Linked DNA regions of Arabidopsis thaliana. The protein of the gene in region 2 purifies or fractionates together with the protein of the main gene of each other region. This does not show direct contact. Each region holds a gene or a part of one and is shown on either strand. Other genes may lie near its edges.

The links.
Region 1: the proteins of OLI2 (region 2) and AT4G15770 fractionate together in Arabidopsis thaliana (co-fractionation; one large-scale study listed by BioGRID). This does not show direct contact.
Region 3: the proteins of OLI2 (region 2) and AT5G52490 fractionate together in Arabidopsis thaliana (co-fractionation; one large-scale study listed by BioGRID). This does not show direct contact.
Region 4: the proteins of OLI2 (region 2) and AT2G44530 fractionate together in Arabidopsis thaliana (co-fractionation; one large-scale study listed by BioGRID). This does not show direct contact.

Annotation. Positions count from the first base shown.
Region 1 is NC_003075.7:8,975,760-8,979,658, forward strand, and holds AT4G15770 (RNA binding protein), read left to right. Parts: upstream 1-2,135; 5' UTR 2,136-2,300; coding exon 2,301-2,864; 3' UTR 2,865-3,185; downstream 3,186-3,899. Other genes in the region: AT4G15765 (FAD/NAD(P)-binding oxidoreductase family protein), read right to left, coding at 24-274, 374-602, 856-1,054, 1,214-1,279, 1,382-1,452.
Region 2 is NC_003076.8:22,644,485-22,651,636, reverse strand, and holds OLI2 (S-adenosyl-L-methionine-dependent methyltransferases superfamily protein), read left to right. Parts: upstream 1-2,119; 5' UTR 2,120-2,253; coding exon 2,254-2,850; intron 2,851-2,939; coding exon 2,940-3,003; intron 3,004-3,118; coding exon 3,119-3,252; intron 3,253-3,347; coding exon 3,348-3,431; intron 3,432-3,513; coding exon 3,514-3,588; intron 3,589-3,691; coding exon 3,692-3,763; intron 3,764-3,851; coding exon 3,852-3,925; intron 3,926-4,066; coding exon 4,067-4,119; intron 4,120-4,225; coding exon 4,226-4,335; intron 4,336-4,537; coding exon 4,538-4,606; intron 4,607-4,691; coding exon 4,692-4,766; intron 4,767-4,863; coding exon 4,864-4,956; intron 4,957-5,043; coding exon 5,044-5,123; intron 5,124-5,208; coding exon 5,209-5,308; intron 5,309-5,421; coding exon 5,422-5,741; intron 5,742-5,846; coding exon 5,847-5,895; 3' UTR 5,896-6,189; downstream 6,190-7,152. UniProt on the Arabidopsis thaliana protein: Involved in ribosomal large subunit assembly, required for normal progression of rRNA processing. S-adenosyl-L-methionine-dependent methyltransferase that probably methylates the C(5) position of cytosine 2268 (m5C2268) in nuclear 25S rRNA.
Region 3 is NC_003076.8:21,296,591-21,300,930, reverse strand, and holds AT5G52490 (Fibrillarin family protein), read right to left. Parts: upstream 2,075-4,340; coding exon 2,056-2,074; intron 1,820-2,055; coding exon 1,446-1,819; intron 1,364-1,445; coding exon 1,286-1,363; intron 1,194-1,285; coding exon 948-1,193; intron 854-947; coding exon 692-853; downstream 1-691. Other genes in the region: AT5G52480 (RNI-like superfamily protein), read left to right, coding at 3,169-3,317, 3,437-4,013. UniProt on the Arabidopsis thaliana protein: S-adenosyl-L-methionine-dependent methyltransferase that has the ability to methylate both RNAs and proteins. Involved in pre-rRNA processing.
Region 4 is NC_003071.7:18,381,590-18,387,174, reverse strand, and holds AT2G44530 (Phosphoribosyltransferase family protein), read right to left. Parts: upstream 3,661-5,585; 5' UTR 3,444-3,660; coding exon 3,348-3,443; intron 3,214-3,347; coding exon 3,037-3,213; intron 2,810-3,036; coding exon 2,561-2,809; intron 2,291-2,560; coding exon 2,147-2,290; intron 2,040-2,146; coding exon 1,872-2,039; intron 1,801-1,871; coding exon 1,731-1,800; intron 1,651-1,730; coding exon 1,569-1,650; intron 1,480-1,568; coding exon 1,320-1,479; intron 1,240-1,319; coding exon 1,201-1,239; 3' UTR 967-1,200; downstream 1-966. Other genes in the region: GH9B9 (glycosyl hydrolase 9B9), read left to right, coding at 1-37, 124-405, 517-834; AT2G44525 (NADH dehydrogenase ubiquinone 1 alpha subcomplex assembly factor-like protein (DUF498/DUF598)), read right to left, coding at 3,855-3,941, 4,039-4,139, 4,281-4,315, 4,600-4,716, 4,873-5,045; COX10 (cytochrome c oxidase 10), read right to left, coding at 5,444-5,585.

The DNA.
Region 1 (3,899 bases), on a different chromosome or scaffold from region 2:
ATCTAGCCAAAACAACACCGTCCTCAAGCGCAGCCGAACATCCTTGTCCTAAGAATGGGCCCATTAGGTGCATACTGTCTCCGGCCAACTGTCACGGTGCCACGTCGGAATTTTCCAGACAGAACATCCCAAGGAGCACGGTACCTTAAACGGTTGATATACAAAGAGTCCATATCACAATTCTTCACCATCTCTTTCCACTCTTCTGAGAATTCGCGGACTGATGCTAGTGCCAATCTTGCGATATCCTCTTGATTTTTTAAGAAGTTTGAGTCTATTTATAAAACAAATTATAAATACGTTAGTGCGTTATATGAAAACAATAGAAGTCTATGTATAGTATGAAATGTAGCATGACCGGGTTATTAATTACCTTGGGGACAATTTCGCAAAACAACAAACCAAAAGACGAGTTTGTGAGTTATAGGAAGTCGTCCGCTTACGACGTTGTCCATCTTGATTCTTATAAACTCTTGTCGGAATCCATGGTCGTCCGGGTAATTTGTGAACCCTCTGATGGCCCGCGAACCGAGGTCTTTAGTCGGGTTTAATCCTAGAAATCTAGAGACTACAGAATTTGACCCATCGCAGCCAATCAAAACCTAAATTAAAAGAAAAGTATATTATCAAAATATATAAGACCCATGCATTTCATGCTAAACATGTTGCTTTCAGTGAAAAACAAACAAAACACAAACCATTAAAACCGATCACGACCCATAAATGTCACTGTCGGCTAATATAAAGTATATACTAAAAAAATTCCACTACGGCATCACCTCAATAATTGATCAATAAATATATCTACTGTTGTTAAAACGTGCCTTTGCTTTGATAGCTTCTCCCGTTTTTAACGTGCACAATCGGAAACGATTTTGTTTCGTCGAGCTTAACCGACAAAATATGGCAACCAAGCCGGAGAGTGCCAAGAGGAAGAGCATGAGCCAAAGCTCGAACCAAGTCGTTCCTTAGTACACCTCTTACTTCTCCATAGGATGCTGGTCCAACCGATTCTCTTCGTTTAATACCTTTCTCGATCAAAACATCTCTTATCCTGTTTTAGTACCATACCGGAAATCATTATAACTAGATAAGGTTAGTTAAAATATAAATATTTATATACTTACTGATGAATTGGGAGAGACTTAAGACGAAGCTAGCTTATCGGCGACACCAAGTTGTTGAAGAGCAAGCCAGCCGTTAGTCTGAATACCAAAATGCTGCTCCTTCCGATCTTACAGACTCTGATCTCTCCAACACAACGCTCTTTATGCCCTTCCTTTATAATCATATTTGTATGTTTAGTTAGTCAATAGTTCATGTATATGTTTTCTAATTTAAATTACCTTATAATTGAGAAAATGAGGAGATTATAGTGAACCTGTGAAGAGCAAGGGAAGTTGCAAGACCAGCAATGCCTCCTCCCACGATTACTATGTCCAATTCTTCCATTCTTCTATATTTGTATTTCCTCCAAATTTTATGATCGTTATGTCCTGCAATGTCGTGGACTTATATGTGGGGGTTGAAGCCACATGGCAATATGGCATGTCGTGGTTGTACCTTGACCCGCGTATTTTTCGTTATCTATACATATTCATTCACAGCGATTTTTATTGGTATTTGTCGATTCATATATCAATTAAACTGTGTATCACACAGATCGTTATATGAAACCAATTCTGAAGAGAGAAAAAAAAGAAAAGAAAAATTTAAGCCTTCTTGTGTTAGAATTACTAATTTTAATAATTTATTTAATATTTTTACTGTATTAGTGATTAAATGTATAATTTACTTAATCTTAGAAGTATATATATATATTTAAAACAATTATTTTCTTACACGTTATACAATATTTGTAATTAATTGTATTTATTTATATTAGAAATATATATACCTTTTTCTAAAATAATATATTTTTGTTTTGTCAATTGCCCTTATAATATTAGTAATTCATTGTATGATTTCCTTATAATATTTTTACACATGAAAAAATCTCTAACTAAACATCTTTTCAATAAACTACATGAACTATCAAATTTGTTATAACTTTCAGTTATCCTCCAAAGTCCAAATATTCAAAGTGAATTATTCATGGGTTGGATTTAACAAAAATAATAATTTCGAGGTTGAAATGACAATAGATATTTTTAAAACAAAGGACCAAAGTCGAAATAACAAAACTCATCGGCCGCATTAGGTTTGGTCCTAAATCCCTAAAACCCTAAAAAAACACAATCCCTCTTAGAAACAGAGAGCTTCTCTTCTTTCTCCATTATTCATCACTTTCTTCCCCGAAGATGCGTCCTTTAGACGAGACCGAGACAACCGTCGTCTTCGAGAAGCTCTTCAAATTCGTCGGCAACAACCTCAAGAAGATCGTCGAGAACCCATCAGACGAAGGACCCGAATCTACACCCGGCAGCTACTGCTTCCGCCTCCAGAAAAACAGAGTCTACTACGTCAGCGAAGCCCTCGTGAAGCGAGCCACAAACATCTCCAGGAAAAACCTAGTCTCCTTCGGAACCTGCATCGGGAAATACACTCACGCCGGTAGTTTCCATCTGACGATTATGTCACTCAATATCTTGGCGGCGAATGCTAAACACAAGGTATGGCTTAAACCCACTTCGGAGATGTCGTTTCTTTATGGGAACCATGTCTTGAAAGGTGGATTAGGGAGGATTACTGATAGTATTGTTCCTGGAGATGGTGTTGTTGTGTTCTCGATGTCTGATGTTCCGTTAGGGTTTGGGATTGCTGCGAAGAGTACACAGGATTGTAGGAAATTGGATCCTAATGGTATTGTTGTGCTTCATCAGGCTGATATTGGAGAGTATTTGAGGGGTGAAGATGACCTTTGAAAGTTTAAAGGTTTTGTCTTTGTTGTGTCTTAGTTTGATTCTGCTTGTTGCTTTGAGTTTTAAAGTATGTAGCTGTTACAAGTTTCGTGGAACTTGGTTCTGGATCTATGAAAGTCTCGATTTTTATAAATCTGTTTTTGAGGTGTTTTGTGAGACTCTTGAGTATGTAAAAGCTAAAAAATTTACATTCATATGCGAATTTTCAAATCTGTAACCTGATGATCAAGATTTGTATTGGAGACAGGTTGAGTTTCCTGATATTGCTTTGATTTTTATACTTAAAAGCTTCAAATTCTTCATCAAGCTTGAAACTTTGGAAATTTACATACATATGCTAATTTTCAAATCTGTAACCCTAATGATTCAGATATGTGTTGGAGACAGATTGATTATGCTGATTTTTGAGACAGATTGATTATGCTGATTTTTGAGACAGATTGATTATGCTGATTTTTCTTTGGTTTTATAGTCCAAAAGCTTCAAATTGTTTTCAAGCTTCAAACTTTGGCCTTTGAGTATTAAGGGTATGTGACTGTCACAAATTTTGTGGAACATGGTATTGTATCTATGAAAGTCTCAATTGTTCTCAAACAAGAGTATCGAGAAGCTACAATTGTAAGCTGATGAATCAGTTTTCTGTATGGAAACAGATTGCTTGCTTTGATTTAAAACTTCAAAACTTATTACTGGGCATATAGGTTGTGTACTGCTGCCAAATAATCTGGAGAAGAGATGTTTAAACCAATTAAGTTCTGAAATCTTTCTGAAACAGATTGCATAACTTTTTGGGAAAGATATTGAGGGTGTTCTTTGAATAAATATGTTGTACACTGAAAATTTCCCACATTAAGAGTAGGGGATTGATATTCATCATCTTTTCAAACGTAATCTTGTAAAGTTCAACTTCAACCCAAAGTCTTGGCCTTTGTACGTTTGTTCCTCACTTGGGAATTGGGATGCAAAGCTGTGTTGCAAAATGTTTAGAAATAATATTTACTGTTATATAGTTTTTCTGGTATCATTAGTCACAAAGCC
Region 2 (7,152 bases):
TTCTTTATTTCTATAAATAGATTCCTAAATCGTTGCGTTTTGATTCTATATTCTATTTTTGTAAATTAAAAGTCCATGCATGGTTAGATATTGCACTGTCGTCTAGGTTCATTTTTACGTTTCTATTGCCAGCTCTAACGATTTTGACTGTGATTCATCTTTAATTAGATAATTAAGATCTATTGCCAGCTAGCTCTATTGCCATATTAATTACATAATTATCTCTAAGACTAAAAGATCATGTTCTGATGAAACTTGTCAACTTGACATGTCTCTAACTGCCAAAACTTATGAATTTAATGTACGTAGAACTTTTTAATATTGACTCCGATGACTTATTTGATGTTTGAAATCATGTGTAACAACTTTTGGCTCGATAGGCCTAATATATTTATTAGCTTTTCACAACCAGATTCTTGAATGAGACTTTTCTAGCCGTCATGTGAAAATGATGTAGCTAATAAATGGTCTTCTTTTTTTATGAATAACACCGACTCAAAGGTAATTTCAATGAGAAAAATATGAGCATTTTAGGTATGTCCTCAAACAAATTAAAACTGTATTCAAATAATTGATCATCTTGCTACATTATATAATAGAGGTGGTGATCAAACATCATAGCATAGTCATATTGTTAAGATGTCTCAAACATCGTCGCATTAGGTCTGAATCGGCAGGGCCGGTCCATATACTAATAAGTAATAACCAAATGTTATGAACTACGCGAGTGTAAATAACATAAGATGTTAAAATGGTTGGTGAACGTGCATTAAATTGTTCTACTGAACGCGTTATTGGTTTTAAGCATGTCGATATTTGTAGAGATTGTAATATGTTGTACGTATTAGAGATTAATATAAACGCGTTATTGATATGTATATTACATTTGATATCATGCGTTTGCGGACAAATAAATATCTTTATTATATACATCATATCGTCACATGTAATGTGTCACTATATATAATAGAAAAGAAATCAACTTAAATGATTGTAGTCCAATCCCCCTATATAGTCGTATATATCTCATCGGTCAAGACACATATGACATAACCAATTTTTAGTTTGAGTGTTCTACATGCACGCATGTATTCAACGAATGGGTTAAACGTTAACTCGTTCTCGTAAGATTATTTTTACATAAAACAGTGAATCTTTTTATTGGTAAATATACATAAAACTGATAATAGTAATAATCTAATTTAGCAACTAGTTTATCCTCAGAATCATTAGATACGTTACTGATCTATTATGATTGCTTAGTGATTAGATAGAGCCGATATCAACTCAGTTTGTACGCACAAGACAGAAGACTAATGAATAATGACAATATATATTCTCGACCCATTTCACACAATGCTAGTACAAGATAAGGTGCTTTCGTGTCATAGAGATTTTGACAAATTGATTATAACTTCCGTTGACTGATGGGAGCGAAATTGACAAAACCATTAACAGATTATGAGCAAGTTCTCAAGATTTTTTAGTTTTCTTTCTCTCTCGGTCCCAAAAGAAAAGATGACAATAGCTAGCATCAACTTGTTAGAAAAAGACGATGAACAAGTTTGAGAATTGGACCACTGAAAATCCAATTTCCACCCAACCAATTATTCTACTATTAGTGGAAAAACGTGGTCAACCATCTTTGTCAACTTCGCCAATATGCTTTTCAACTTCTTAATTAATGCCTCAAATCTCGGAACTACATTTTGTCACAACGCTAAAGATAAAAGAGAACTAAAAGTAGAAAAACAAGAGTTTGTGAAAGTTTACAAGTTTTTTTTGTAGAGAGAATTTTAACCGTGTTAATGTTTTGTTCCAAATGTTTTTGTTTGTTTTGGAAAAACAAAAATTTGGTTGTTTTTATTTCACAAGTTCAAGAGCACGCTTGTACCAACAAGATCGATGATCGTGTTGTTTCGATTCGTGTCGAAGTTGACACCGTTTCGTTGTCTTGTTTATTGATCGAGACATATTTGTTTTTGGTTGTGGAACAAAATTTTAAAGTATATTGCGTGTTCACACTAGTTTGAAAGTTGTGTGCGTATGAATAAACATATCGAATAATCAATAACAAGGCACCATATAGTTATTGGGCTCAATTTGTTTTAAATTGGGCCGATAATTATTTAGGCAAAAGCCCAATAATAGACACCAGTCAAATATACCTTTGTGTACTCCAACAATCATCATCTTCTACTTCTTCTCTTAAACCCTGGCCGCGCGAGAAAACCCTAATTCAAACCTGTAGCCATGCCTGCCCTCACTCGTAACAAGAAGAAGGCTGCGACGAAATCGATAACCCCTCCAACGAAGCAGCTTACCAAATCCAAAACCCCTCCAATGAAACCCCAAACTTCAATGTTGAAGAAAGGAGCGAAATCTCAGAACAAACCTCCATTGAAGAAGCAGAAGAAGGAAGTTGTGGAGGAAGAGCCTCTAGAAGATTACGAAGTTACCGATGATTCTGATGAAGATGACGAAGTTTCCGATGGTTCTGATGAAGATGATATTTCTCCAGCTGTGGAATCAGAAGAGATTGATGAATCTGATGATGGAGAGAACGGGTCTAATCAGTTATTCTCTGATGATGAGGAAGAGAACGATGAAGAGACTTTGGGTGACGATTTTCTAGAAGGTAGCGGCGATGAAGATGAGGAAGGATCTTTAGATGCGGATTCGGATGCTGACTCTGACGACGACGATATTGTGGCGAAATCTGATGCTATTGATAGAGACTTAGCAATGCAGAAGAAAGATGCTGCTGCTGAACTGGAGGATTTTATCAAGCAAGATGATGTACATGATGAAGAACCTGAACATGATGCGTTTAGGCTACCAACTGAAGAGGTAACATTTTTTTCATGTGTAATACTTACTCTGTTTGATTTTGGTTTTAGCATATATCTAACTGTTGTTGTTATCTTTCATTTGTCCAGGAGCTTGAAGAAGAAGCTCGTGGTCCACCAGATCTTCCTCTACTTAAGACTAGAATTGAAGAGAGTTAGTAACATTTCCAAATTTTGTTGCTTTATTACTGTTGAAATGTTGGTGTGATGGTATTTATCTAGGTTGGTTTGGATTGGTGTTCTAATTGTTGATTCATTTAACATTTCAGTTGTTAGAGCTCTTAAAAATTTTAAGGCTTTCAGGCCAAAAGACACCACGAGGAAAGCTTGTGTTGAACAGCTCAAAGCTGATCTCGGTTCTTATTATGGTTATAACAGTTTTCTTATTGGAACTTTGGTTGAGGTGAGACTCTCTAGTTTCTTTCCTTTGATATAGTATGGATAGGATGTTGCTGATATTCTTTACTTATGGATGTTGAATTGGGATTTCTCTTGCAGATGTTTCCTCCTGGTGAACTTATGGAACTTATTGAAGCTTTTGAAAAGCAAAGGCCTACGTCCATCCGAACTAACACACTTAAGGTGAACTTGGTTGTGACTTACTGGGTTGTAGCTTATGACTTTCAAGTTCTGCAATTTCATGGTGATGTATGTTTTGCTTTAGACTCGAAGACGGGATCTTGCTGATGTACTTTTGAACAGAGGAGTCAATCTAGACCCATTAAGCAAGTGGTCTAAAGTAAGTAGTTTGTTCTTACTATTTTCTATTCTGTCAGTCCTATTTTTATGAATCTTCTATTGTTGATCTGTCCTAAGTCTTATTTACTGATGTCCTACTGCAGGTTGGACTTGTTATTTATGATTCACAAGTCCCAATTGGTGCAACTCCTGAATATCTGGCTGGGTACTACATGGTAAGTGATCTTCTGATGTCTTTCCCTTTTCTTCACCTTTATGGAATGCAATTGTTTGCTTAAGTCTCTCTACTTGGTGTATTTGCAGCTTCAAGGTGCTAGTTCGTTTTTGCCAGTGATGGCCCTTGCCCCTCGAGAGAATGAGCGGATTGTGGATGTAGCGTAAGTTATCATCATCTACTCATCTACTAAACAATCGCTGCAGCTAAAAAGCGTTTGACCTTGTTGGCGTGTGATGATTCCAATTCTAGTGTTTGACTGTTTTGTTGTGTGAGTTTATAACAAGATTTTATATCGATGCAGTGCTGCTCCTGGTGGTAAAACAACTTATATCGCCGCTCTAATGAAAAATACGGGTATGTCTTCATTGGTTTCTCTTGCTTCTTATCCCCATATTCTATTTGGCTGTCGTATGTTTTTTTTTTTTGGTTTAAGTAATGTTTATAATGATGCTATTACCAGGCTTAATATATGCGAATGAGATGAAAGTACCTAGGCTTAAGTCGCTAACTGCCAATCTGCATCGTATGGGGGTCACAAATACCATAGTTTGTAACTATGATGGAAGAGAGGTTAGCTTCTTGAACATTGATTTTTCTGTTGAATTTCTGCTACCTGTTCACAAAATGTTAAAAACCCCGTAACATCTACTTGAATTCACACTACTGAAATGACTGGAATTATAAAATTTGATCTGGTTAATTTTGCTCAACATGCTGCCCAGTTTTATTTTCTTGCACTTATTCTTTATTTCGTTATCTTTGCTGCTGTCAGCTACCCAAGGTTTTAGGTCAGAACACGGTTGATAGAGTATTGTTGGATGCGCCTTGCAGTGGGACTGGAGTAAGGAACTTCGAACTTACTCTCTGTTAAACTGTAGTTAAGTTTTAGATCCTTGTTACTAAATCTCCTCTGCTACCCAATACAGATTATATCAAAAGATGAATCAGTTAAAATAACGAAAACCATGGATGAGATAAAGAAATTTGCTCACTTGCAAAAGGTATGGCAGTACCTTCTTAAATAACTTCTATTATATCTGAACAGACCAATTTTCATTCTTAAACACATGCTAAGTTAACCCTTTTTTGTTCATGAAGCAACTTCTACTCGCTGCTATTGATATGGTGGATGCCAATTCCAAAACCGGTGGATATATAGTTTATTCAACATGTTCAATTATGGTTACTGAGGTTAGTTAACTGATAATTTCCCCCATAATTTTCTTCTTTGTATTTGATTCATCCTAATTTTTCTTTATGTATGAAAAAATTGTGCAGAATGAAGCCGTCATTGACTATGCCCTCAAAAAGAGGGATGTTAAACTCGTTACGTGTGGTCTCGATTTTGGCAGAAAAGGGTAATGCACAAGTTTTTCATCTGAGGGATATTTAAAGGAACATTAAATAATGTCTCTAACTCTTTGTCCTTCTTCTCTTCATCAGATTTACCAGATTTAGAGAACACCGGTTTCAGCCATCTTTGGACAAGACTAGACGTTTCTATCCTCATGTACACAACATGGACGGATTTTTTGTGGCAAAGGTACTCACTTTTGGCCATTGTAATCGATCAACCATGCACTTGTCAATACTCTAATAGTTGATATAATCCACACAATTTGATGTAATGCTCTTGTGTTCTTTTTCTTTATACAGCTGAAGAAAATGAGCAACGTGAAGCAATCTTCAGAAGAAGGTGATGATGATGCGGTAGAAACTGTAGAGCAAGCTGAAGTGTCTAGTGATGATGATGATGAAGCTGAGGCCATTGAAGAGACGGAGAAGCCTTCTGTTCCCGTTAGGCAACCTAAGGAAAGAAAAGAAAAAAAGAACAAGGAAAAACTTGCAAAATCAAAGGAGGACAAGAGAGGTAAAAAGGATAAGAAATCAAAATCTGAAAATGTGGAAGAGCCATCTAAACCAAGGAAGCAAAAGAAGAAGAGACGGGAATGGAAGAACGAAATAGCTCAAGCTAGGTATATAAATATCTATCCCCATCCATGAACTGAGAGAACAAAATGCTTTAGACTTGTCTTTTATATATAGTTGCTTGACAATGATTTGTATAATCACGTTTGCAGGGAAGAGAAAAGAATAGCCATGCGGGAGAAGGCGAAGGAGGAGAAGTAATGATGATTCAGTGTTTTTTCATCAAAGAGAAGAAAAAACATTTGCGAAAACGTTATCATCTATGGTTATAGTAGGCTTGTGCCATATATTGGCTTTCTTGTTTTTGTTTATTCACGACGAGATTTGTGCAACGTTAAAAGCACCCAGAGTGAGCACTCTGTTGGACTCCGTGGGCAGACCACCTTAAATGTCCAAAAGTTTTGTTTCAGAAAAAAATCTTTTAAGAGAATCAAAGTTAAGTTGTGTTCTTGAGCCGATCACTAAATTGCTGTTATTTTTACTCAAGAACCAAACTAGGGGTGGCCAAAAAAAAAACTATAACTACTAACCTAAATATTTTTTATTTCGAAAAACCCAACATTTTTTAACCTAAATGTAGTTGGAACAAACCGAAATGAATATACTAAATTTTGTTAATTTTAAGTTCAAATGATTAATTATCAACTTTTTAATTAATTTGTTAATTCATCACTTCATATGTTGGAATTGACTCAAACCAAACTATATCAAACCATAATTGTATGAAACCAAACAAAATATATGAAATTGAAAGGCTCAGAATTGTTTCAGTTTAGTTTTTCTTATTTTTCAGAGAACTGTTTTTTAAAAAAAATTAGGGATTTGGCAGTGAGCTGTTGATTGGTTGTAAGAAGTTAGAGAGAGAGATTGAGAAACTCTCACACCAAAGTGGGACTTGTGTTGGAGAACATGACAACCCATTCTTCATCTATCTTTGTCAGATCTTGTTTGGGGACCTCTCAATTTTAATTTGATTATTTATCCTTAACTCTTCCTTTTTCTTTTTTTATTTGCATTATTCATTCTTTTTATAAATATGTATTTCAAATAATCGAAAATCATTAAAGATATCTAACTGGTCGATTATATGTTCCAATCAATCAATTTTTGTATTATTATGGTATGAATAATTTCATATATTTTTCTTGTTTACTTTCTTCCTGATTTTATTATATTCGAAAGAACATTTTTTTTGTCTGCTGTTATAAAGAACATTTTTGTAAGGGAAAAAGATGGTTATTTTATAAACAAAAAGAAGATAATAAAATAAATCAGGTGGACTATTATTTATAACTTTACGTCAAACAAAATCATGTGGACTATGTTCTGACATTTGGGTTGTACTAAAGTAGAGTGGATAATAAACTAATCAAACAGAAATTAACTGAAAACAAGTGTACAGTATATGACATATTATTGGAAATAAAGAACAAAATTACTGTAATTTTTTTTATAATA
Region 3 (4,340 bases), 1.3 Mb from region 2:
TCAAGTTCTGGTCCTCGTAAGAGGGCGTGGGTTCAAATCCCACTTCTGACATTTTTATTTTGTTATTTTTCCCTTTAATACATGACCTGATGACCAATTTCAAATTTACTCTTAAATTTTCAAGGATGAAGTTCATTACGAAAGTTTAATCTATTAGAAGGCAGAACTGAAAATAGCAAATAGTGCAAAAATTTTATTCTTTGGAACATATTTGAATAATGTGATTATTTTCAGCTAATTATCGTCTTCTCTTTGTCATAAACACAAAACAATGTATTTATCAATTATGTCTAAGGAAACATAAATTGATGAACAAGCAGAGTTTCACTTTCTGTCTACAAATTTGAAATTACACTTCCACAAAATCATATTATCGATAACAAACTTTTAAAATCACATTGAAAATCTCAAATCACAATGAATGATTCTTCAATGTAACGTTGTGTTAGTTCCACGTTCGATAAAACAAACCAAAATATAAATACTAGAATTCAACTCAAAATGTATGTGTATTCTACCTTTTGTTTTTGCAAAACTCAACTTCTTAAAACTCATACTAGTTAGAAGACAAATCACAGTGAGAATCAGAGAAAAATAATAATTTTAAAGCCTCATGAATGTGTATGAATTTTAACAATCACAAACTAAGTAAAGAGTATCAGCTTCCTAATTAGATAGCAGTATCAGCTTTTTACTTCCTAGGCAAGCGATATCCACCAAAAACACAAGCATGCTTTTCCTCACAAGAGTCAAGATGCAATATCTCTGTTGGTCTCAACTCTTCCATTTGTAACTTCTCCACTTCCATCTGATACACAGTTTCTGCTGCAATTGTTGAGTCTATAGAATTCGCCTGAAACAAGTAACTTAGAGTTAACCAAACAATGCACACTAAAAAGAGAATGATTTTGATTTGAATCAATGGTCAAAAAAGTTTTGTTACAAACCTTTATAGAGATCATAAAGTGCCCTCCAGATTTGAGGAAATAAGAAGCATTGAGACTTAATATGTTAGCTTGCTCAGGGTGATTAACATCAGAGAATATGATATCAACCATTCCCACAAGCATTCTATATTTAGCAGGATGTCTAGCATCTTCAATGATTGGTATAACATTAGTTCTCTTCTCCGCCATGTTCATCAAAACTTTACCACAAATATCAGAATGCTCAACAGCGTAAACACATCCCTCCTACCAATCAGAAAAGCTAGATATAAGTAACATAGAGAGAAAACACTCACTCAATCTTAAAAGTTAGGGTTTAAGGTTTAGTGTTCACTTACTGGACCAACAATGTCAGAGACATGAGACACGGTGTATCCAGAAGAAGCACCAAGGTACAGAACTTTAACACCAGGTTTCTACAATTTCAAGAAACAAGTATTCATTAGTTTCGGTAACAGAAGAATAAAAGAGATTGTTACTTTAAGTTATGGGACTTACGATCCAAATGTTATCAACACCAGTGGTAATAGCATCAGCTAACTTAGATCTATGAGGGTTCCAAACTCTGTATTCAACAGTAGATCGGTCTTCGTTCTGAACAAAGATTCTCTTCTCATTGTAAATGATTTCACCAGGAACTAAGTTCTTGGTTACAAGAGCATCTGCTTTACTTTTGGCAACAAACACTCCTGCGTGCCTGTGTGGTGTCACTAACACTTTGCTTCCTCCCTTAATTCCACCGTCCGATTCACTTTTAACTCTTCCAGGCCCTCTTCCACGGCCACTTTCGCCGCCTCTTCCACTGCCTCTTACGGCACTTCCTTCACCGCCTCTGGCTAAACCTCTTCCACCTCTAACACCACCACCACGTCCTGAGCATAATCATACAGATAAAACCGAAATTAACTAATCAGAAGAGAGTATTATTAAATCTCCTATTAAACTTGGATTGAAGAAGTGAAGACTCAAAACAGTTTACGTAACAAGCAATTCAGGTAGATATATTGTGACAAAACGAATTTGGAGTTAACAACCCTCAACCCTATACTATAGGTCGAACAGAGAAATTAAACAAGTAGTAAAACAAAACGGCTGCTAGGGTTCTAACCTCTTTGGGGAGGTTTCATCTTTGCTATAGAGCGAGAGCGAAAGCAACAAAGAGAAGGTTGATGTTAATCGATGTTTGCAGCTTTCGTGTTTGGTTTTTTTATTTTTTAGTTTTTATCGAGCCCCTGCTAGGGTTTAAGAATGTTTATCTATTGGAATTTGGAGTTGGTATAGGAAAGCTGGAAAGGTTCCATTTATTTTTCCGATAAATATGGAAAAGTTTTTATTTATTACATTTAACAAATTCTGTTAAACAGTTTACTTCTTGTAGGAAGATTTCAGATCCTATCGAACTCTTTTTATCGAATCACCACCATCAGATTTCTTGTTATGCAAGGAATACATGATTTTGAAATACAAAAGGTCAGAATATTAGGAGCTTAAGGCCCAATAATTAATTCAGGTAATGGGCTTATTAGACATGAATTGTTTTCGTAAACTTAGTGCCATAAGGACTAGATTGTAAAATTTTGCATCTTATTGTTATAACTTTATATTGCAGATCAAGTAATCAGAGATGCCTTCTGACTTTAAAGTCCAAAACAATCATTAGTTTAAACAAAACAAGAAGAGGAAAAAAAATCACACGAAGTTGGACAAAAAACTCATAAAATTGATTTTTTTTTCATTAGTTAATAAACAATTAAGGCCTTGAATGATTGTAAATTCTAAAATGGTGTCTAGTTTGCATAAATAGATTTTTTTTTTTTGCTTTTCATTAATTAATAAAAAATTAAAAATTTAGATTTCTTAGCTTTTCAGGAAACTTTTTTATGCAAACTAGAAACCATTTTAGAATCTACTACCATTCAAGGCCTAAAACTAAAACCAAAAACTACTTAGAATCTACAAATAATCAAAGAAGGCCTAAAACTAAATGACTTTCTGATATATATATTTCACAGATTTGACATTTTGATCCTCATCAGAAATGGATCCGCTGTCTTCACTGATGAAAAACGAAGAGCCAAAAAACTGGGCGGATCTTCCGACGGATTTGATGTGTTTGATTCTGCTACGTCTTAGCGTGACTGAGATACTGGAGAACGCTCAGAAAGTGTGTAGATCGTGACGATATGTTTGTAAAGACCCATCCATATGGCGTAAAATCGACATGCGAATCTTGAGTTACAACAAACCAGTACTGGTGAACAATCCTGAGGCGATATGTCGTAACGCCGTTGATCGTAGCGAGGGTGGCTTGCTGGAGATCAACATTGGGGACTTCGGGAGTGATTCTCTCCTTACATACATCGCGGAGAGGTTCTCCTCTAATTCTAGTTTTGACTTTTGATTACTTTTCATGTAAGTCTTCAAGTGTCTGTTAAAAACAGATATCTCAAGATTATGATTTATAACTTTTTACACACCATTACTTGTAGGTCAAGTAATCTTAGAAGCCTTAGACTAATGTGCTCAGAAATAACAGACGATGGATTTGTTCAAGCAGTTGTGAAACTTCCAATGCTTGAAGAGCTTGAGGTTTCAGGAATATCATTGTCAGGAGAGTCTATGAAACTTGCAGGGCTGTCTTGTCCAAATCTGAAGACATTGATGCTAAACCGCCTCTTTTACTTAAGTTCGGATGATGATGATCATGATGCCATAGCAATTGCAGAAAGCATGCCTAAACTACGCCATCTCCAGCTTTGTGGGAACAAACTAACCAAAACAGGCTTAAACGCCATTCTTGACGGTTGTCCTCACCTGGAACACCTCGATTTACGCCAATGTATCAACCTTGTCGGGAATCTAGAGAAGCGTTGTTTTGAGAAAATTAAAGATTTGAGACGCCACAATGATTCTACCTCTGCTGATTACCCGTTTTCTTTTGAAACTTACTATTTTCATTGGTCACGCCAATTGGCAATACTTAAAAATGCGCTACCGATGGAAGAAGGCGCCTATAACTTTGATCCAATAGTGGAAGAAGCCGAATATTACTTGAAACTGTATTGAGACTTATGTCAATAACACTTAGTCGGTTTGTTTGTGTTTAAAATTTTATTAACCAAAAAAAAATGAGTTCCTTTCAGAGCTAAGTGATACTTTTACGCCTTTTCTTGAGCATAATCATGTTCAAAACAAACTACTTCAACAATCAATTCAGCATGCAGAAACAAGTAGGATTAAAATGGACAGTAGTTCTTATAGCCAAGCAAAAACAAGCATAGAAAAGACTGATGGAGATACAATCATTGGACGAAAATGTTGCATCAATATATATTAGTTCTAAAACGAGGATAAAATTTTCCAAATGAGACATAAAAGCATTATCCATCTCTA
Region 4 (5,585 bases), on a different chromosome or scaffold from region 2:
CGATAAGTTCGTGGGTGCACAAGTCTTGATGGCCAAGGTAAGTTATGACTATTTCACTAAAGAAAACATATCACTATCTTATGTGGCAAGAAACAAACATAACACAAAGTTTTGCAAATGCAGCTTGCACTTGAACGGAAAGTAGGGAGCAATGGAAAGATCGCAGAGTACAAGAGTATGGCAGAGCAGTTTATCTGCAACTGTGCTCAAAAAGGTTCCAACAACGTTAAGAAAACCCCTGGCGGTTTGCTCTACTTCTTGCCGTGGAACAACCTCCAATACACCACAACCGCTTCTTTCGTTCTCTCAGCATATTCTAAGTATCTCACAAAGGCAAAAGCCTCCATCCAATGTCCCAAAGGTGCTCTTCAAGCTTCTGATCTTCTCCAAATCGCTCGTTCCCAGGTAGTTAATAAAACCTAATATAGTACCAACTATAAAACATGTTGTTGAAAATATATCAAGACTTTTTTCAATATAATATATACTAATTTGCGATTTCCTCATGTTATATAGGTTGACTATATACTTGGGTCGAACCCCCAGAAAATGAGCTACATGGTTGGAGTTGGGACCAATTATCCCAAAAAACCACACCATAGAGCAGCCTCCATAGTATCGATCAGAAAGGACAAAACACCAGTGACGTGTAGTGGAGGGTATGATAAATGGTATAACAATCCTGCACCAAACCCTAACGTTTTAATGGGAGCACTTGTCGGAGGACCCAACGAGAACGATGTTTATGGAGATGAGAGGAGTAATTTCCAGCAAGCTGAGCCTGCGACGGTTACTGTTGCTCCGTTTGTTGGTGTCTTGGCCGCCGTTTTTTAATTTTGTCTCTCCTCGTTTTGCAAATTTGAGTATGTTTGCTTTATATCTTATATAAGTCATAGGTTTAAGGTCTAAATGTAACTTGGCTTTAAATAAAATAAAATAAAATCCAGATATTTCACAAATAAATAATCTTCAACGGTAAACTATCTACATGATTGGATCCAAATTGACGAAAAAAAAAATATTGTATTCTTAAAAAGTTTGAAAACGTGGTTCCATTAAATCTTCTTCTCTACAAAAGTGTTCCCTTCTTGACAATCACACTCAAGTCTAACATTTTTACAGCGGAAAAGAGTTTGTACATTATCAGAAATTCATACTACTGAGAGGCTATAAGTACATTCTTTACCCTTTTTCCATCACTCAATCAATCCCCAACGTCGAAAATGGCTCAATGGCTCCCTGAGAATATCAAAAAACTTTATTAGACACAGAAGTTCTCTTCAAGCGAAAATTGCAAGTAGTGTTTATGTTTTACTCACCGAGCAATCATCATGAACACGCCATATGGTCTCCCCAAGAAGGTTTGCTACTGAGAGAACTGTAAGCTGAGGAAAATAGTTCTTCTCTGACAATGGAATCGTGTTGGTTATGATCACCTCTTGAAACAGTCCGCTCGATAGTCGACTGATTGCAGGAGGGCTGTTTCCGAATATAGACACAAATGCATATGTCAGCTTCTTTCTCTTTTTTTATAATTCCAACACAGAGAAAATATTTCATGGACTTACCTAAAAACGGCATGAGTGGTACAAGCGTATACTTCTCTTGCTCCTTCTTGGTGTAACAGAGCCGCACCTTTGCTTATGGTTCCTGATATGATATACCTAACGTAAGTATCTAAGCACAATGGGGAATGTTTACAGATATGCAGACCGTGACTTATTACTCACCTGCTGTGTCAATCATGTCATCCACCATTATGGCTACTTTCCCTTTAACATCCCCAATTAAGTTCATCACCTACATGAAACGGGTTGTTAAATGTCAAAATCCAGACTTGGTTAAAATGTATTTTCCAAAGGTTTTTCTACCTCTGCAACATTGTGCCCATGACGTCTTTTATCAACTATTGCTAAAGGTGCATCAGATAACTTCTTCGCAAAAGCGCGAGCTCTTGCGACGCCACCAACATCAGGTGAAACTACCACCAAATCTTCAGAGGATATGGCCTTACTTGCTAGGTAATCAAGTATGACAGGCTGTTCATGAATATTAAAGCACAAGGAAAAGAAGACATAAGAAAGTCTATTTTCACAAAAAGGAACTTGATGCTCAGAGGAGTCATTTAAGAAAAACTTTTTTCTACCTGGCCATAAACATGATCGACTGGAATATCAAAGTAGCCCATAGACTGTCCGGAGTGAAGATCACAAGCAAGGACACGGTCTGCACCAGACTGTGTAATCAAATTGGCCACAAGCTTGGCTGCAATAGATTCACGTCCTTGAGTCTGCAAGAATATGTACAACGAAAGAGTCAAATGAAAAACTCTCAACTAGAAACTAAGTGAAGCCAGAGGAATGAGACAATCGATAAACCCAAATCAGCTTCATACAGATAACTAAGCTGCCAATTTGATTACTTGATTACTTCCAAATACTAACTACCATAGATCTGACTTAAACTGACAATCGATTACTCTTGGAGACAAATCATTGTGCATGTTTTCACAGGACGATTGAATCCAAGACAGATTCTATAGTTATAGAAAAAGACTTGCCTTTCTATCAGCTCGTGCATAACCAAAGTAAGGAATCACAGCCGTGATAGTTTTGGCTGATGCTCTCCGACAAGCATCAATCATAACGAGCAATTCCATAAGGTTTTCATTTGCAGGTGGGCATGTAGGCTGTACAAGGAACACATCACATCCCCTTACACTCTCTTGTAGCTGAACATAGATCTCACCATCAGCAAAGCGTTTAATCTTGATTTTCCCAAGGTCCAGACCCAAATAGCAAGAAATCTCCTGTATCATCAGCGTAAAACACCAATGAACAAACAAGACGATTCCAGAATATACTCTAAACCAATTTCTTCCTAATCCTAATCTTTGCAATTGAACAAATCTCCAGTTTTAAGCTACTAATTCCGAAGTCTATATCAGTTTCTTCCTAAACTAATTTCAGTTCCAAGCTACTAATTCTTGCAATTAAATCCAAAGAACTCCAACGACTAACAAAGCTAAGAACGAACCTGAGCCAAAATAGGATTAGCAGTGCCGGAAAAGATACGAAGTCGTGTGGTGTTCTGATAAATCGAATCTTCCAAACGTGTCCTCGAAAAGCTAGCCGGAACGGTGTCGCCAGTAAGCAGATGGAAACCGGCAGAGTTTCCGCCGTCGAACTTGTACGGATCCGCCGCGTTACACTTCTTTTCAATTCCACAACCAACAGAAACAATCGAGAACAAGATTCATCAGATTCGAGCGAAGAAGACCGTATAAAGTACAAATACCAATAGAAAGATAATAGTCGGAGAGAGTGAGAGAAGTAGATGAGACTTACAAGAGGAAATCGAACGGAAGAAGGCGGACGAATCAGAGAAGAACGCCGGAGATTTAGCGCCGGGAAAGTAGGCGATGGTTGAACAATAGACGCCATGTTCGAGAAATGGATCCGGAGAGAGAGATTTTAGGGTTTTGAGAAAAAGCAGTCTTTTCTTCTTCTTCCCCGCGAGATACGAATTTGACTACAAGAAAATGACTCTCTCTTCTTCTTCTTCCTTTATATACTCAAAAACTCATTTCTAAGTTTTTAACTAACCGTAACGATTTCCGTTAAAAATATAACTGTAATTCAGATTCTTTAAATCTCATTCATTGATACAACATAGTCTCTGGAGATATTATATCTTTGGAAGGATGAGAAATGCGAGATAAAGTCGCACCATGTTACAACGTTTGTTATATAGCTCAAACGCAATAAAAACTCCGATGAAATTCGGTTTATTTTCGGAAGGTCTCAAAAACCATTTACAGTTTAGAAAGCCAGAGCTCGAGTTGTTAGTTTTCTTTAGGATGTAACTCCATATGGAAGCAATGCCGCAGCAACGACTCTTCCTTCTTCATTCAGAATGTTGTACGTTGATGCAGCATTTCTCTGAATTAAAAGTAATCAATATAATAAGCGAATAAGAAGTTATGAAGTAAGCTTGGGACTAGAAAAGAAGCCTGTAGAAATGGATTAAGAAACTTACAGAATCAACTGTTTCTAGTTTCATGCCAAGGGACTTGACAAACTGACGGACCTCGGGAGTTACCGGGTGAATGTCTCTTCCACAACCAACAATCAAGAGCTCTGGACAATTCGATGATTTAGTTTAGAATATCTAATAAGAGCTGAGATTGAAGCTAATATGCAGCAAAAGTTAATCAACCAGAGGTACTAATACAGTTTTATTTTCATACTGATGACTCATGGGTACACAAATATTATTACCTGGAATAGGTCGAACTGTCTGGAAGATAGACAAGCTGCATCCATGGAAATAGAAATATACAAACGTTTAGCCATTGCTCTCAATGACAAAAAAAAAAAAGAACACTTGTCGAAAATAAACCAAATGTTTTATCAAACACTTCAAATTGATAAAGCTGTCAAATCCTCTCATGACAATGAACATTGAAAACCTTCAACCAATCTATTGCCAAAAGCACACAACTTTCACTCAAACACAGTCATAAAAATCAGCTCAAATCGATATAAGGTTGTGACAGAACATTGGTGAGAATCAAAGGCCTGAGAAGAGAGAAGATACCTATCAGTGGTGATCTCTGAAAATTTACGAGGACTCCATGACATTAACAGATTCCCAACACAGAGTAAGCTACCTTCGTATTTGACTCCATTCACAGTGAAACTCGTATCATTAAATCTGCAAAGTAAGTGAAGAGAATCAATCAACCACCACATATTTATACATTTCCAATTCCAAAAACCCTAATCATTCATTAAATCAAACCCAGAAACACAGTCGGTAAAAAACAAAATCAACGACGAAAAACAATAGAGAAAGCTTGGAATTGATTACTCTTGGAAGCGAAGCTGGTCTTCAGGAACATTGTCAATGAGATTGATCTGATCATAGAGGGAAAAAGCTCGTCTCAGAGAGGGCAAAACAGGATTAGAATGCTTCGGAACTTCTTTTCTCATACTTTGAATCAATTTCGGCAAAGTCGCCATTGATTTCAACCTCATCGCCATCTTCGTGGCAGCTCAAAGTCCTCAATCGTGATTTTCCGATTTCCGCAGCCGTCGAGACTCGAGACCTTTAACCAACCCGGTTTAATCGTTTAACTCTACACCATCATCGGTTATCGGATTTCATTTCCAAAACCAAATTCGTTACTACGTTTATTAGATAGACCTAACACGTCAAAGCTCAAAAATTCATCAATTTGATCAGATAATTGATAAAGTATGTATTTTGTATCATTTGAAACATACTTAGAGAAAAAATACAATTATGTGGAGATGAGAAAAAATACATAAACTTGTATGCGTTCTCCACTTCATTATTAACCAAAGATTAAACTTAAGAACTTTTCAGATTTTTTTTTTAATTTCTGTTTCCAAAAATTCAATAGCTTGCTTAAAGGTTATCATGGAGAGTAGAAGGAAGGAGCTGGGAGGAAAGGAAACGGTGCAGCAGAGGCATAAGCCACCGGAGGTTGAGCCACACGTTTCTTTCGCCTCTGAGTTTTGACTTCACCAGATACAGAATTTGTTAATCCGGCTTCTTCT